Danio rerio: one gene and its partners. The protein of the gene in region 1 interacts with the protein of each later gene in a biochemical or structural test. Links are inferred from orthologs where the notes say so. Each region holds a gene or a part of one and is shown in the gene's direction. Other genes may lie near its edges.

Region 1 (3,942 bases):
TCTAAATTACATATTGACATAATCTTCTTAATGTTTTATAATTGGAGTCAGATAAAACGAGGATAAATATATTAATATTCTAAACCACCTCATATTAAAATTGGAGTCAGATATGAGTTAAGTTTAATATAAATCAACATTGTGCACTGGAAAGACCGAACATGCAGTGAACCTTCATCCACCATTGGATACCGTCATTGAACCAACTGGCTGGACCTTACAAGTGGATGAAAACATCCCCAACCCTACATAAAGCTTAATCAAAAATATTTTCTCACCAACAAGGTCAATGAAGATAAATAAATTGAATCAACAATTTTTTTAAATTGATCAACAAATTTTATCCCATAAAACTATTTTTGAAAAAGTTTCATGCTAATATTGATGTAAAATGTTCATTTTGTCAATTTTATACAGAAACAGTTTTTCATTTATTTTGGGAGTGTAATTATGCTTTACAATTTTGGGAACATATTGGCTCATTTATTAATGATAATATACAATACAATGTTTCTGTTACTTTTAAAGAAATTATTTTTTGTTATGAATCTGCCTCTACTAAGAGAAATGCTTGTTTTGTTATAAATTTAATTTATTTTCTTTGTAAATTCCATATCCACAAATGCTAATTTACTAATACTAAACCATATTTTCCTTTTTTTTTTTGCAAAATTTAGTCATTATATACATTTATTTTAATTTTCTAAAAATAAAAAAACAAACAGAACTATTTCAATTCGTAATGACTTTAATTTATGTTCTGTTATTGCTTCTTAAATGTCTTACCCTCAAGTTTATATCATGTTCTTTATTCTTTTTTCTTCTCTCTTACTCTCTCGTATCTCTTTTTCATTGACAATGTAATTCATATTCTGTATTGTAAACAAATATTGCTACAAAGTTGTCAACTGTTTTTTTGCAAAAAAAAAAAAAAAACTACATAAAGGTTTCCAAAAGTGAAATATATTAACATATGGGTTTTCAGAAAAGTAAGCGTATATGGATATCCTGAAGACATGAAAACAGTTAAATCCTAATTTTAAGAAGGCATCGCTCAATAACTTCATTTTGACTAACTTATTTGCTGTCATTTTTGTCTTCCCATAATTCCCCTACCCGGAAACAGCACGCAGCGCGGAAGTACACGGGGGATTTCCTCGACAGTGTGGGCACCTGTCTGAACTCTTCTAGACGTTTTCATTTGATATACTTTATCAATCTCGAATTCTCGATTCAGACTTTCCAGCTCGGTGGTGTTGAAGATGTTGGCCTACCTGAGCGTCCGTGGCTGACTTTAAACCTGCCTGTGTTTCCTCGGCGGAAGACCGACAGACAGTGAATCTGTGCTAGCGCAGAGTCAAAACACTGTTAACGGCGTAAAGAAGGTAGTGATTACTCTCATATTTTATCATACGATATGTTTATCAATGTCTTCATGTGTATGTAATGAATGTGAGTCGTGTTAGTGTGTGATTTTAAATGTTTATTGGTTTAAATGCGGTAAAGCTAGTTGTGTTGTTAGCTGAGCGCGTCCATCACGAGCCTGTAAACAAAACAAAACCGAGTCTCGTATATCGGATAACTGCTAATTTCAATCACAGTATTGGACTTAAAGTGTCTTTGAGGATTGAGGTAAAATTGTTTTTATATTCGTTCTTTCTCTTTAATAATATAATTTCAGAAAAGTATTCTTTGCGAATTCTAAATAGGGAAAATCATAATAAGTAGACAAAGATGATCATAGTACAACATTGTACACAGTCAATGACATAGTGCTAACTGTTAATGTTGTTTTTAAATCATACTAACATGCTATTTCAGACTTAATATTCAAAGTAGCGTGGTAAACAATATGGGGACAGTGTTACAAGTTATCAGTGAATGAATGTGCAAATTTACCTCAGTCTTTTAAACCTCGCGCGTTTGTCTTTAACTTGTGAAATAATCTTTGTTTTGACAGCGAGATATCATGACATCGACTTTGTTTTCAACTTTGATATTTGATATTTCTTTTCAAATGTTTTAGAGGTCGTTAATATGGCGAAAGTGTCATTGAATGACTCATAAGTTATCTGTGTCTTGTTGAAAAGTGAAACAGTAAAAGCAGAATTGAACGTGAGACATGTATAAAATGATATAGCTTTACATGTTAAAGCTAGTAACATGAACAGGTACAGGTATTATCATTTACATATTGTCAAAATGTGGTTACTGGTAACATTTTACAATATGGTTCCATTTGTTAGGATTAGATAACATGAGCTTACTCTGAATACAATTCAATTAATTTCTATAGCGCGTTTACTATGTAGATTGTGTCAAAGTAGTTTAACATAGCAGTTCTAGTAAATGGAAACTGTCAGTCCAGTCTTCTGAGTTGGTTCAGTTTAGTTCGGTGTGGTTTAAATTTCATGGCTGAAAGTCCAAACACTGAAGAGCTAATCCTTTGATGCGCAGCTCCACAAGTCCCAAACCAAGCAAGCCAGTGGCAGCAATGACGAGGAACAAAACTTTACTAAATAAATTAAGTGAATGAAAAAAATAAAAAATCCTTTAGAGAAACCAGGCTTAGTTGGGCACAACCATTTCTTTTCTGCCCAAACTTCCTGTGCAGAACTGAATTTTTTTAAATGAAATTTTAGGCTTTATTTATAAAACATTTACACATAAATTAGTGAAATCAAGGTAGTTCACTTAAAAATGAACATTTTGTAAACATTTACTTACTCGCCCTCTACTTGTTTCACATCTGTTTGAGTTTGATATACTGAAGAATGCTGGGAAAAGCAGCCATTGACATACTTTCACTTTTTCTACTAGGAATGTCAATGTTTTTAATAAAAGTTTAGAAACACTTGAGGGTGAAGAAATGGTTTGGGTGAAATGTCACTTTAATATTATTCAATGGATTCGAGCTAACTGTCTTAATATTCTAACTAATTCTATTAACTATTTTAATAACATTACAAGTTGTATAATTATTCAACTTTAGTATGTTTTACAATTGTTATTTTATTAACAATTTAAATAAGTTAATAGAACTTTAAATGTAAAGTTATTATAAAATAATTTTGTGGTGCATATGTCATTTTAATATATGGAGTTTTGTTTCCATTTTAGTTTTATTGATTGTATTTAAGCTGTTAAGTTTAGCCTGCTTACACTGTAAAAAATGTAATAACAAAGTCAAGGCAACATATATTTTTATGTTGCTTTTATTTTAATTAGTTAGTCAGCTTTCAATTATATTGTAACTTATACAAAGTTTATTTTTATACATTTTAGTCAGTTTAATTGATTTTAATTTAAGTTTAATTTAGTTAAGATGACTACAAAAGTTCATTTAATTTTCATTTAAACAGTTAAGGCAGCAAGTTTTTCTTTTTCAATTTACTTGTTTGTTTTAGTTTTGTGTTTACGTGCAAGCAATGTAAAATTTTTAGACCAAACAGAGATAACAAATATTTATGAATTCAATTGCAAAAGTCACAAATACAGGTCATAATTGATATAAAGTGTACTACATGTTTTCAATGATTTGAAATACACAATTGAAATGCGTACACCATTAATTTCTTTTCAGAAAACTTTTTAAAACTATTTTTACAATGATTCCTAAATAGTAATAATAAACGTATTACTCATTGCTAGTTAAAGCATGAACAAATGGGACCCTGATTGTAAAGTGTTATCACCATTATTATTTATCCACCGCAGAAATTATTCTAAATTTATCTGAATATTTTCATCCAAGAATCTTAAAGCACTGCAGTAGTCTTGGTGATTAAGAGCTGTAGATGATCAATGCGGTCTTTTGTTGTGTCTGTCAGGATCATGGTCCAGCCGCAGCCGTCCGGTGGCTGCACTCTGCAATATGAGTTGAACGGAGAAGAGACCGCAGGTTCAGAAGGTCAAGTCTCACTCATGGCCAGTTCACAGGGC
Region 2 (3,537 bases), on another chromosome or scaffold:
TTATTGCTTTCATATATATTTGGGAGTCACGACCAAAACAACAAAGGATTCAAAGAAAAATATACTTTTTAGAAATTTTATTGAGCAGTAATTTAGAATATTGATTTTCATTGCTGACTTTATTGTTTAATGTTTTTTTATGTTTTAGTATTTTCTTCATCACAGAATCGTTTATTTAATCAGTGTAGTAGTTTGGAAAGACACAAGGCTTGAGTAAATAATGTGAGAAGCCTAATTTGTTATGTGATCTATGTCAGATATTACACCATGTTGTGTTTTATTTTGAAGTGGTCCTAATTGGAGACTCTGGTGTGGGGAAGAGTAACCTGCTGTCTCGTTTCACTCGCAATGAATTCAACCTCGAGAGCAAAAGCACTATTGGAGTGGAGTTCGCCACACGTAGCATTCAGGTGGATGGAAAGACCGTCAAGGCTCAGATCTGGGACACGGCAGGACAGGAGCGCTACCGAGCCATCACTTCAGCGTAAGACTTATTACAGATTCCAGTTTTAAAGTTTAACTGCCTGTTCATAGCAAAGATCTCTATAGAAGTTATTTTAATCTTGTGATATTCCTCCAAAACACAACTTAAACACAATGGCAAAGACAAACAATATTGTACACTGATATAGTTAAGCATATTTGAGACTATAGATTAATTAACACCTTTTTTTTTGACGTTACTGTGCAGAATGACACTTGTGCATTATCGTTGTGTAAGCATTTATTTCATGCATCATAAAACAGAAAAAAGAGGCTCTGGAGGGTACATCTTTGAGTTTTTGAGCAAAAATGTTTAAAATCCTTTACATAAAAAGCAGTTAACAGGCTTAACCCTAGGAATACTGGTGAGGCCAATTTTTTTAAGGTACATTAATTAATATGTTATTCATACTCCAAACAAAATTCATATATAGCCCTTTTATTTTCCATCTTCATTTGATTTGCTGGCTAACAGGTATTACCGTGGAGCTGTGGGGGCCCTCCTAGTGTATGACATCGCCAAGCATCTGACCTATGAGAATGTGGAACGCTGGCTTAAGGAGCTCCGAGACCACGCAGACAGCAACATTGTCATCATGCTGGTGGGCAATAAAAGTGACTTGCGTCACCTTCGGGCTGTGCCCACTGACGAAGCACGTGCATTTGCAGGTTAGAGGTGAACCATTAACTTCTGATAGTGCTGCTTGTGTGTATTGCTGAGGCATTAATCCATACTCTTCCACTTTTTTGCAACCATATTTGCAGAGAAAAACGGTCTGTCCTTCCTAGAGACCTCAGCTTTGGATTCCACCAATGTAGAGACTGCTTTTCAGACCATCCTGACTGGTGAGTGTTCTTTCCAAAAACCTTTTTCAGCAGATACTTATCAGTGTGCAAGGTTAAGGATGGTAAACTTTTGTTTTTGTAATGGCAGCATTTTTCTTGAAGAAATACAGGCTTGAGGAAATGACTGTGTTAGTCTAAACTGGGAGAAAAAGAGATGGTAAATGATTGGCCGAAGGCCATATCCTTATGAATGACTCATCAAAAGCCCTGCCTTGGTCGGGTAGGTTTCTCTGGCCTGACGTGACTGCCATAGAGAGTTTCTGTCGTCTTTTGCTCCTCTGTTCAGCTCCTGGCATCTGCAGAGGAAGAACAAATAATAAATGTTTCAGAGGCATTGCTGTCAGTTGCGATGCTGTAATTGCATCGGCCCTGACATCCAGTAATAACAGCACGGATGTATGGCAAAACAAAGTTCATATACAAGTTTTTGATTGTCTTTCTGTCCTGCAGAAATCTACCGAATCGTATCCCAAAAGCAGATGTCTGACCGCCGAGACAATGACATGTCACCTAGCAACAATGTGGTGTCCATCCAGGTGCAACCTACTGAGAATAAACCAAAGATGCAGTGCTGCCAGAGCATCTAGCGACTCCTGTACCGAATCCACCCCCCCCCCCCCCAAATCCCCCACACGCCCACCTGCAACACCCCCTCCTCCCCTCCTCTTCAAGACTGCTTTGGGTCTGAGATGCAGCTGCACAACTAGGCTTGAGCACAGAGGCCGGTTCCAAAGCTGAGTCTCAAAGGGTCACCACCTGCAGTCTGGACTAAGCTTGTTGTTTTTTTTGGTTGTTTTTTTTTTTCGGTTGGTTTTCTCCTTCCTGCCATGGTAGGCTTTTATATTGCAGAATTTTAATAATCATTTGTGCCGATCTTCACTGAAATGTCTTAATATATAATTTCATTCGCAAACGTGTGAGGTTCACTCATGTATGTCTTTAGTAGCAGCCCCCTCGTCACTGTCGTGTCTGGGGTGGAGGGGAGAAACGTGCAGTATTGGAGGTTTTGCTATATTTAATGTTGTGATTGTAGAAAGATGATGTACCTGATAGATGTTAGATGATGATTAGGGCCCAAAGACCACAGTCTTCACCTTTTTTGTCCATCTTCCAAGTATGGTTTACATTCGCATTCCCACTTCCTTCATGCATTCGGCACGGGGCGGCATTGAATTTCACCATCAGGCACGTAGCTTCTGCGCTCTTTTCTCTTGGCCATCATGTGCTTCTTTTGCATTGAGGTAGATTAGTGGTTTTAGTGCCTTTTTTGATGAACGTCACGTGCGGATGCTTTCATGCATGTGCTTTACTGCTGTCCGTGCCGGTGCTGCGAGGCCTTCATCACACGCTCGAATATAGTCTTATAGACCTTCTCTTTCGCTGTCACCAGCCCTTTCAGCTGTAGTCTTGGAGAAGCTTCAGTTTCTAATAAACAAAAACTGATGTCATAATTCATGAAGAGGGGAATGTTGTATTTGAAACACTACCACAAATGTTTTCAGTGTGAAATGAGGGAAAAGAGACTTCCTCTACATGTAACATGTTCATAACCGCAAACACGTCATGATTTTGCAGGTCACACTCTGGCATTAAAGTCATGGTTCACCTAAAAATTGAAATTCTGCTGTTTGTTTACTGACTATATTTCAGCAGTAGAATGTCAGAACAGATCTTTTTTAAGTGGAAACTACAGCTTAGTCTTTTAAAAGAACAAAATAAATACCTTTGGCTCCTGATTTCCTGAGCAAACTAAATGTCGAGTGAAAGTATGATCCACCAAAACAAAGGTTTCAGCTAAAAATCTACTTTAATTATCTACCAAAGGTAAAAAGTCAGGTAAATCAGCAGCGAATGTTCAGTTTTAGTTGAACTATCCTTGAGAGTCAGAACAAGAAAACACAAAACAGCGGCCAGTCGATGGCCACATCACATGAGAGCACTCTAGGGAATAGACTGGATACTTTCTTTCTTTATTTTTTTGCACTGAATGTAAAATATATCCCGATTAGATTTTTTTTCCCTCCCGCCACTACAGTAGTAATGACCTTAAGACGTGTAACTTATATTTATTCTGTGGTAGTCATTTAAATCCAGTTGTTAGCCTTCAATCTGGAAGCGATGGGACTCGTTAAGATCATTTCTGAATGTATTATGTGTTTTAGCCTACACTATGTCTTCGTCTTGATTCCAGCAGATGGGGCAAAACCA
Region 3 (3,500 bases), on another chromosome or scaffold:
TGATGAAAAAGCTTTGTTATGGATGTGACATCTCTCTGTTATGGATATGACAGATGTAAAATTGCCACTTGTGTGACTTTGGTAAATCAAATATAATAGTTTGAAAACACTGATAGATACATTAACCAGAAACAGTTTCGCTATTTTGGCGAAAACGTAATTTTTTTCATGGCAAGGTTGACATTTGCATGGAATTGCTCATTACCTGTTTATTTTAGTATGATCATTACATATTAAAGTGTTTAAAAAAGGTTGCTGATAAAATAGCATATTGCAAGTTAGTTATATCTTTAAAAAAAATGTTAGCACTCAACAACATTGTAAATTTTTCCATTATTGTGCAGCCATACCGGCAACAAATGTGAAATATTATAGCATATCATTTAACAAACCTTTTCAGTTACTACCAATTCGATGTCATTTTGCTCACATGGCTAGAATATGAATCATTTATTCATTCATTCATTCATTTCCTTCGGCTTAGTCCATTTATTCATCAGGGGTTGCCACAGTGGAATGAAACGCCAACTTCTCTACCATATGTTCTACACAGCGGATGCCCTTCCAGCCATAACCCAGCACTGGGAAACACCCATACACTCTCACATTCACACTCGCACACTATGGCCAATTTAGTTTATTTATTTATGCAGGTCTTTTAACTGTGAGGGAAACTGGAGCACCCAGAGGAAACCCACGCGAACATGGGGAGAACATGCAAACTCCACTCCGAAATGCCAACTGATCCAGCCAGAACTCGAACCAGTGACCTTCTTGCTGTGAGGCGACAGTGCTACCACTGAGCCACCATGACACCCGTTATATTAATCAGATGATGTCCTTTCACAGCTGTCTTGCTGCCAGTCAATCGTTGTTTTGTTGATCATGATTTTGAGGATAAATAATAAATGAAGTCCTTCACAACAAGAACGCAGTAATCTCAGATCAGTTCATCCAGATATTTTAATCTGAACTTGTTTGAAGAACTAAATTAGCTATTCAGTTTTGGATAGAATTCCCATTCAATTTCATAACACTCTCATTTTGCTTGCCAATTAAAGTATTTTATGTCCTTGCAGCTTCACAAATCATATCAGATCAGACTGAACTACGCCTTTTGGAGCAAAGCCCTCGACGGACGAGTAACCTCATGCACAATTGGGGTTGTCGCAATGGGACAGTTGGAGCACTGCTGAAGATTCTTGAGGGACTCCAGTGGTTCAGAGCTCGTGATATCATTCTCAAAGCACAACTATGTAGGTTTTTTTTCTTCTTCCTTTTTTTGATTTTTTTACCACATCTATGTGCCAAGCAGGTTATCAGTTGGGTTTTGTGGTTATCACGTTACTCGCTTTATAATCTAAAGTTTCACATTCCATGGTTCAAGAAAGAACTATGCTGTCAGTCAGATGTGAAATTTCTCAGTTGTGCTTATATTTCCCACGTTCTTATTTGGTTTACTTGTTTACTGCTTGTGATCCGTCAATGTATATTTTAAAACCTGTTTGTTGTTAACTTTCATCAAAATGAATTGACTTGTTCTGCCTGTAAATCTGAACTCAAATCTGTAGAAAGGCATTTCAGCAATCAATACTGATACCTATATTATGAAAATAAATATACTAACAGTATATGTATTTATACACTGGCTTGTCACATCAATTAAAAAAATGTAGATTTTTAAATCCATATTCACTGATTAAAAAAAAATTAAACAAATAACACATTCATTGACTTTATATGTTGGAGCATAAATTATTCTACAAACTTGACTTACTGGCATCATTTGCTAGATATTCATGTTATTGGGTTATCTGTCTATCATGAATGATTGTAGATAATTTTTGTCTTAAAATATATGTATAAAAAATGTATAATATAATATATATATATATAATGTAATGTAAATATATATCTCTGATCTTACAAAAAATATGAAACAATAAAACTTAATATATTTATTTATTAATAATATTTAATACTTTTATATTTATTTACTTATCTCATGATTTATTGTTCAATAATAAATCATACATGATAAATAATATTTATATAGTATATATTTATATAGTATGTAGTATATAGTATTTATATAGTAATAAAATACTTATTAATATTAATGTTAAAAACAAATCTTGTATTTTATGGAAAACATGATTAAAAAAAAAAAAAAAAAATATATATATATATATATATATATATATATATATATATATATATATATATATATATATATATATATATATATATATATATATATTACAACGTTAGTTTGAAATAAAAAATGTTGGCATAGAAAATATGCTTTTATTGTACTTGTGTTATGATTTGTACAAGCACTGCCTGTCAATAGTTTCAGATAATAAATCCATCAATGCTCTTTTTTTTATGCATGTGCACAGGTAGACAATTTCCACAGAATCATAAAGAGCAACAACCCAGTACAGTCACATTTATCAAAGAGCATCTCCCTGTCCCCGGTAACATGTTATTCTTACTACAGTCCTTATGTTAACATAAAACATGACTTTGATTATTACCTAACAGTTGCTCACTTATCATAACATCTGTGCTAAAAGTGGCTCTTTTATGTTTCCAGAGATCAGGCCTTTACCCAGGCCTAGCCCTCCACCACCTGACTCCGTGAGCTCAACAATCTCAAAAACAACTGAAGAGGTATTTTGTTTGATTAAGATAAAGAATGAAGGTGAAGGGCACAAAACTGTTAACTAATTCTCACCATACATCCTGAGTTGAATGATTATAGTAAGAATAGCTTCATAAAATGTTGTTTAAATGTTCAAACAAGGTGTAATTTAATTAAATATGTGCTAATTTGCATAGATTTCTAGCTTAAAAGTCTGAACATTGAATGAAGTCAAGTTCAGAATTCTTGTGTATATTTTTTTGTTCTATACACTACCTGATAAAAGTCTTGTCATCGATCCCAGTTGTAAGTGCAACAAATAATAACTTGACTTCTAGTTTATCATTTGGAAAAGTGGCAGAAGGTAGATTTTTTTTTTCTATAAATCATCTGTTGAACTGAATTCCAGTCATCACAAATACTGCAGAAGACCTATTGGAACCCACATGGACCCAAGATTCTCACAGAAATCAGTCAAGTTTGGTGAAGGAAAAATCATAGTTTGGGGTTACATTCAGTATGGAGGTGTGCGTGAGTTCTGTATAATGGATGGCAACATTTCAAGACATTTGTGCTGCCCATTACATTACAAACCACAGGAAAGGGCAAATTCTTCAACAGGATAGCGCTCCTTCTCATACTTCAGCCTCCACATCAAAGTTCCTGAAAGCAAAGGTCAAGGTGCTCAAGTATTGGCCAGCCCAGTCACCAGACATGAACATTATTGAGCATGTCTGGGGTTAGATGAAGGAGGCGGCACTGAAGATGAATCCAAAGATTCTTGATGAACTCTGGGAGTCCTGCAAGAACGCTTTCTTTGTCATTCCAGATAACTTAAGTAATATGTTATTAG
Region 4 (3,500 bases), on another chromosome or scaffold:
TAATTAAACAATCAATTTTGGGTAACACTTTATTTTGATGGTCCATTTGAGTATTAGTAGACTGTTTGCTTATTGTCTGTTGATACTGCTCCTTTAACAGACATTTAATTGACTATAAGAAACTTTGCAAGTACATGTCAACTTACACTAACCCTAACCCCAACCCAACAGTCTACTTATAATCTAATGAGAATTAGTTGCAATGTAACTTAAATTCAACAAACGGACCATTAAAATATAGTGTTACCTAATTTTGTTCAAGTGGCAAACTTTATAATTTATTGTGACCTAAGGGTTTAAATTGGCTTTAAATCTTAGTCACAGGCCTAAAAACACATCCAAGTAAGTCAATCTTTCACACTGTTAGATTATGGTTAAACTTAACAATGACTCCACAAATCATGTCTTCTGAATTGTGGTTTCTGGTTAATTATGATCCCAACTTGACAGTGCAGATCCTGCGATTGGACCATTGAAGAATCGCAAGTTGCGATATCAAAGCAGAAACGATATATTGTGCAGCCCTAGTATGTAGTGACGCTGATGATTTCCATTATTGTAGATGTTTTTTTCATATAGACCTTTATTTTTTGACAGTAATGGAAACAAAGTTGTTCAGCTGATGAAGCGTCTTTCTATAAAAAAGGAATTTCTTTGAACCTATAAAATCTATGACTGTAAATCTATGCCTTACAGCCTCATTTTTATCCATGCCAAATTGAATGTGTTAAAGTGGGGTTTCAGCGTGACAGACATAAACATTTTATTAGAAATTCTGATCTAAAAAACAGACCCATCTCAAACAAAGCAAGACTAACCTCATTCTAAATGCTTCTTTTTTCTTCCAGTACTTTATGTCTTTTCAGTCCATCCATCCTATTAAAAAGATCATGAAATCTTCCACTTCCTGGTCAAACTGACCACAGACGACCCTCTGAGGTTTATCGTGTGTTCCTGTCATCTTCAACCCACTCCTGCTATGCAGCCATGAGCTCTACGCTATGGAGCCAGGAGAAGCCAGGGGGCAGTTTCCGGGACGATTGGCGTTTCTACATTGTGGTGAAGGAATGCACGGTGGAAAGGCCAGGCCAGAAGACTCTGCGCATCCCACGGGGCAGCCTAGGTCAGGCCTGCCAGGAGCGCAACAGCCTCGGACGCACAATCCCAGCCAGCAAAGGTAAACGTAGCCTACGCATCCTGGACCAGACCAATGTAGTGGTGAGCGTGGATGAACGGGATGTGATGGAGCTCGAGGAGAAGCTGGCGGAGCTACTGTTCCCTATCACCAACTGTGAAGAGCGTTACAGCCTGCTGTGTAACAGGTCGCGTCTGGACAGGGCCCGCGACATCAACTGTGGGTCAAAAGTTCGAGTGCAGCTTAGGTCAGGCGATGAACCTCTCCCAGGCGTTGTCCGCTTTAAAGGAGCTTTGCTGCCTGATCGAGCACTGAGTGGGATCTGGTTTGGTGTCGAACTGCTGGTGAGTGAAACTGTTTGTCATGTTTGATGGTAAATATTTGGGATTGGGCTCACCTTTGATCTTAAAGTGTGTGATCTAGGGCTGGGTGATATTGCAAAAAAAAAATCATAATATCATGTTTCATATCATTCGATATCGATAATTATTGAATATTTTTCAACAATACATTCAGGAATATTCTATTTTTTTATTTAACCACTTTATTATAATTTACCAACATTACCAAGGCAAATAGTTTTAAGCAAAGTGTGTTCAATGGTAAAGGTAGATCAACATCTGTAAGTTGTGAATAATAATGATAGGGTAAACCTCAAACTCTGTAAACAAAACAAATTATGAAAATCAAATCCGAGCTTTCAAGTAAAGAAACTAACCATCATTATTCAAATACATATTGCAACATTTCACATTGTGAAGTTGAATGATCACAATACCCACTATGCTAAAAAAAATCTTTCAGATGGGGAGCTAGTGGCTGGGATGCACAAGAAAAAAAAAAGCCACTTTGGATATATTTTAATTTTCTTTTTTATTTCAATCTCCTCACTGCTGCTATACAGCACTCATTTTCGCATGTGTTGTTATTCTGACCTGAAGTGACAAGCCTGAGAGGATGCTTCACTATTTTCTACGGCGTCTCTCATAACAAGGTGACCATTTTCTCAGAGAATGACAAACAAAGAACATTGCTGCCACTCCAATACAAGTTAAGAAAAATAAACAGCACTGCAGTGTTTGGGTGCGGTGTGTTTGTCTCAGGTAATTAGTCTGCTTTTACTAAAATGTGTATATTTCATCCAAAGTGTGAAGCAGAATGGTTAGTTCTAATCGCGGTGCGCTCACGGCATTCTGAAAAGTTCAGATGTTTTTCAATTAGGTGTACCTGGAAAATGTCTCTCTCCCTGTTAAATTTGATCTAATCCGTGTCCTGAAACACACCTCCTCTCCAGCTTTCACTTCTCATACTGACGGAGGGAACGATTTGTTTGTGAATGAATCTCTGTTATGAACGACTCGTTTACTAGCCGACAATAATACAAGTTTCTGGCATCGCAGCATCTTGTTGTCATATTTCTTTTGCATTGTTTGCTGATTTTATTCAACAAAGCTAGCATAAGCCGAGTATTTAGTGCGAATTGGAGCTACTTTGCCTTATGATGAATGCAATAAGTGACTGTGAAATGTTCTGGCTTTGTGCTTTGTTTTCTTTGTTTGCTCTTTACTACACTCGTAGACAGCGCTAAAGTCCCGCATCTTCACGTAATAATACTGTCTTGTCTAGTGCGGTTGAATGACACTTGTCCTGGGAGCACTGTACCAATGTGGCGGCGCTATAGACGCATGCTCAGGGTCCCTATGCGATATCTAGTGTATATATCTATGTCACAAATTGAGGAGCGGGGAAAGGAGGCGGGGTGGAGCGACAACACGGGGAATCCTTCACAAACTGAGGAGCAATCACAAACCGAAAGCAGCGAGAGTGTCAAAGTAGTCAGAAGTCATTTATTTTTTAATGAGAACCGGCGCCGAGAAACATCAGCGCGTCTTCATTGGCTATGACGCGGTTCGGCGGCAAGCAATCAGAATGAAGTATTCCAACGCTTGAGAGGAGTTCAGAGAACACAGACCTGTGAACTTTGGTTCCCACCACAGTTGTTCCCAAGAGTTTGATTATTGTGGTTCCTGGATTTTCAATTATTGAAAATCGCAACGACGTGGGGCCTCCTAATCACGCGGGGCCCTCCTGCGGGCCCGTCCGCTACGCCACTGCATGAATCAGATATGGGTCACAATTTAAAGAATGTGTAAATGGACAGGCAAAAAAATCAGATATAGACAACAAATTAGAATTTGGCATCAAGACCTGACAGTGTAAACGTGGCCTTGGATTGGGAGATTCTGTAGAGCATAACATATAATAAACAATCCGCAAGCTTTCATAAATACAATAAAGAAAGAGATACAGCTGAAATTAGCAGTATTTTATTGTTTCCGAGTACTCAAACAATATTTAGGTACAG
Region 5 (3,500 bases), on another chromosome or scaffold:
CTAAATTCAAGACAGGCTGAGATGGAGCTCCCAAGCCGCACACCCAAACCTTGCCTGACCGTGGAGGAGGTTAGCAAACTGAGTTGTAATGTTGTAACTTAGTACCTTTTTTTAAATACATGGCTTCCTGAGCATCTTTCTTTTGATTAGGCATTGAGAGAGAGTGATCGAGAGCATTATAGGAAGCTAGTGGAGATGGCATCTGAAAAATATTCAAAGAGCAAACCATTGCCGTTTGGACGGATAAAGCCTTCCATGTAAGCACATAAATTATATATGTTTTTAAATCACCACAGCTTAGCTGGTGCAAGTTAACACTGTTTTCAATCAAATCTTTTAGCACCGCTTTCCCCATTGATGGACACAAGGTCAGTGGACACACCTCCATCTGTCGCACTACTGACTTGAACAGACCTGCGCCAGTAAGAGGTGAGAGTTTATTTAAATTAATCTTCACTGTTATTAGAACTTCACATTTTTTCATAAGTGTTTGATGAAGAGTTCCATTATACTTACATTTTCTGTTTGCCTAATTGCCTTAAGTCATCCCTAACATTTCTATGTGGCGGGATCCACTATCCCTGACGCAGATTAAAGACAGGTAATACTTCAACATGCCACATAATCCTTATATGCGTTTGCTGAATGCAGAAAGATTCATTTCTGTTTATTTTTCAACTGTGACAGAACAGTGGATGGTCATCGAAGCACAACAGGAAGTGATGTCAAGGAAGGAGCCTTGGATAATCAAACTACACGAAAAACCGTAAGTGCTTGCTTCATGTGCTGTAAAGTGTCATGTGAAATCAAAATGTACAATGTTTATTTTGCTAGCTCACGTTTGTTACTCTTAAAGTGAACAATTAATCTGTGCAAGTTAATCTACTGAAAAAAAGTTAGTTTTATTAAATCAATCAAAGTTTGACCATTTGCTCTTACCTTTGGAGTGGTGATCCTTCTGTTGAGGTCAGTAGGAGGGTTTCCATAGCAACTGTATATTAATATCCTTAACCACACCCCTTTTACCATTAGTTTGCTATGAGGGAGTGATGTGCAAAATGAAAGCCCCACCCCCTACTCAATATTTTGTTACAGTTGGAAGTACATACTGAAATGAAGTCTCAGCATCTTCTGCTTTACACTGACTGAAATTATTATTTTGCAGACTAATAATAACGTAATTTTCTTTTTTAAATTATTTATTGTTTTCTGTGTATCTTAGGCCTGTCACAATAATCAATACATCAAGTTATCGCACAACACATGGACATGATCTCTATATCTATTGGAGGTGTCAGTGTGGTTAAAAAAAACAGTATAGTATTTACTGTAAATGACTTTAGTTCATTTTCATGTGGGTGTCTGACAATTGATCGCAGCATCTGGTACTTTTTACCTTGCACTTTTTATTATTGATTATTTAGGATTATGCGTTTTTACATTCTGATTCCAATGCCTAATTATTAAATTGTTAAAATGACTAATTAAAATATTTTTAGGAATAAAATATGATGTATTCTTTGGGAGAGTATTCTTGCGTAATGATGCTATTATATTGTCATTTTGGCATTGTATAACGAGCTGCAAAAATGTCTTAAAATTACATTAATATTGTTTATCGCGATATATTTTGGTGCAATGTATCATTCGACAAAAAATAGGTATCGTGACAGGCCTAGTGTAGCTGTATTTTGACCACATTTTAAAGCAACATAATGCAATAATGGCTCCTTGTAGTGTCTTTTTCTCCCTCTAACACCTTCTTTCTCACCTTCTCTTCAGGCTGTAGATGTTGATCTGTCAGCTGAGGTTGAAGCCAGGTTAAATCTGAAGGACAAGGATTCTGCTGTTGGACTTCTGATACCTTCCAGATCTGAAGTGATTACAGATGCAGTGAGGCGTGGTGAAGAGGAGTTTCCCAGACTGACCAAGGTTGTTACGGTCACCTCAGTCTCTCTCAGATTGATGTTTTAGTGGGTTAATTCTACTTTTATTTTCAAGATACTTGCATGAAAACATTTTTTTATTACTGGAAAATATTTCAAACCTGTTGCTCTAAACTTTAATTGCTAAAAATTCAAATTGGGCTGTTTTGTGCTCATTTTAAATTTTTTTTTTTAATCACATCCACTTATTACAGATATAAGCAGTTGCATTGACACTGAAAAGTCATGACTTTTACTGTCAAAAGTCATGACTGCCTGCACTCACACTGCATTACATTTCAAGCCGGAGCACGCTTACAACATCGATGATACGACTGTTCAGTTTAACAGGAATGAAAGCGCTCTCGCTCAGCACAGTGGACATTGCTTTAGTTATATAATGCAGAACAGATTCACCACTTTTGACGCTCATAAATTAGCATAAATTTCCTCGTGCATCATGTATTAAGAGGTTTCCTGAAGGTGCAGCAAGAGGGGTTTGCATCTTTGAGAAACTAGGACAGTTTGCGTTCATTGAAAAGTAAGAATGATTAATAAATCCATATGAAAAGTGAAGTTGTGTCTTCAGTTTTACGCTCACACTACAAGCCTACCGTGCCTGAGCACAACTGAACCACGCTCTGGCACACCTCCTTTAACCAGGCCACAGCCAGCCAACTGAACTGCACCTGGGCCCGATTCAGAGCACTCAAACTTTTCAATCAAACCGGGAAACGTGCCCGGGAATGTTTCGGTTAACCTAGTGTGAGTGCGCCCTTAATTTCGAAGAATTTTACAAATAATTTTTTCTATGAAAATACTCTTGATAAACTAATGATTTAATTAAACGTTGATATCACTAAAGCGAACTCCTTAACAAGAGAAATATTGTAATGTAAACCTTTTTTGTTGTTATTGTTGTTGTAATACAGTGTATTTGTTTTCACTCATGCATTAGTTGTCAGCTTGGTTGTTTTCCTTGTGGTTTGAGTCACAGTGTTCTCTTTGTGTCCTGTAACAGGAGATGCAGCAGGAAGTGAGTGCTGCTCTTGCTCAGAGTGATCCAAACCTGGTTTTGTGCAGTGCTTTCAAACTGCGTATCACACAGAGAGATCTGGCAACACTACAAGAGGGCAGCTGGCTCAATGATGAGGTAATGTCATTTTAAGGGTTTTATTCGAACAACACAAAATGTCAGTACAGTTATTTACTGCATAAAGTTAAAATTTCATTTCATTATTAATTATTTCCCAAATGATGTTTAACAGAGCAAGAAATTTTTCACAGTATTTCCTTTAAGATCTTTTTTTTCTAGAGAAAGTCTTTTTTTTTCAGCTAGAATAAAAGCAGTTTTTAATAAAAAAAACCAAAAAAACAATTAAGGTCAGCATTATTAGCCTCCTTAAGCATTATTAATTTTTGATTGTTACAGAACAAACCATCCTAATACAATGATTTGCATAATTAACCTGACTTGCCTAAATCTAACCTAGTTAAGCCTTTTAATGTCACTTTAAGGTGAATACTAATCTTGAGAAATGTCTAGTAAAATATTATGTACTGTCATCATATCAA

The links. The genes of interacting proteins can lie anywhere in the genome.
Region 2: the proteins of ikbkg (region 1) and rab11a are reported together in a solved structure, tested with the Homo sapiens proteins (2 studies listed by BioGRID, with this or other methods). The link is inferred for Danio rerio from reciprocal best matches to the Homo sapiens genes IKBKG and RAB11A.
Region 3: the proteins of ikbkg (region 1) and irak1 form a complex in vitro, tested with the Homo sapiens proteins (3 studies listed by BioGRID). The link is inferred for Danio rerio from reciprocal best matches to the Homo sapiens genes IKBKG and IRAK1.
Region 4: the proteins of ikbkg (region 1) and cyld form a complex in vitro, tested with the Homo sapiens proteins (3 studies listed by BioGRID, with this or other methods). The link is inferred for Danio rerio from reciprocal best matches to the Homo sapiens genes IKBKG and CYLD.
Region 5: the proteins of ikbkg (region 1) and senp2 form a complex in vitro, tested with the Homo sapiens proteins (2 studies listed by BioGRID and IntAct, with this or other methods). The link is inferred for Danio rerio from reciprocal best matches to the Homo sapiens genes IKBKG and SENP2.

The regions. Positions count from the first base shown.
Region 1 is NC_133198.1:21,496,909-21,500,850, reverse strand, and holds the start of ikbkg (NF-kappa-B essential modulator), read left to right. Parts: upstream 1-1,142; 5' UTR 1,143-1,385; intron 1,386-3,830; 5' UTR 3,831-3,834; coding exon 3,835-3,942. UniProt on the Homo sapiens protein: Regulatory subunit of the IKK core complex which phosphorylates inhibitors of NF-kappa-B thus leading to the dissociation of the inhibitor/NF-kappa-B complex and ultimately the degradation of the inhibitor.
Region 2 is NC_133193.1:20,520,465-20,524,001, forward strand, and holds the end of rab11a (ras-related protein Rab-11A), read left to right. Parts: intron 1-288; coding exon 289-484; intron 485-958; coding exon 959-1,152; intron 1,153-1,248; coding exon 1,249-1,329; intron 1,330-1,779; coding exon 1,780-1,916; 3' UTR 1,917-3,037; downstream 3,038-3,537. UniProt on the Homo sapiens protein: The small GTPases Rab are key regulators of intracellular membrane trafficking, from the formation of transport vesicles to their fusion with membranes.
Region 3 is NC_133183.1:9,128,930-9,132,429, reverse strand, and holds part of irak1 (interleukin-1 receptor-associated kinase 1), read left to right. Parts: intron 1-1,079; coding exon 1,080-1,260; intron 1,261-2,402; coding exon of another isoform or gene 2,403-2,406; coding exon 2,407-2,480; intron 2,481-2,599; coding exon 2,600-2,676; intron 2,677-3,500.
Region 4 is NC_133182.1:37,753,204-37,756,703, reverse strand, and holds part of cyld (ubiquitin carboxyl-terminal hydrolase CYLD), read left to right. Parts: intron 1-848; 5' UTR 849-987; coding exon 988-1,479; intron 1,480-3,500. UniProt on the Homo sapiens protein: Deubiquitinase that specifically cleaves 'Lys-63'- and linear 'Met-1'-linked polyubiquitin chains and is involved in NF-kappa-B activation and TNF-alpha-induced necroptosis.
Region 5 is NC_133181.1:12,367,035-12,370,534, forward strand, and holds part of senp2 (sentrin-specific protease 2), read left to right. Parts: coding exon 1-69; intron 70-150; coding exon 151-257; intron 258-340; coding exon 341-429; intron 430-543; coding exon 544-601; intron 602-687; coding exon 688-766; intron 767-1,782; coding exon 1,783-1,932; intron 1,933-2,946; coding exon 2,947-3,078; intron 3,079-3,500. UniProt on the Homo sapiens protein: Protease that catalyzes two essential functions in the SUMO pathway.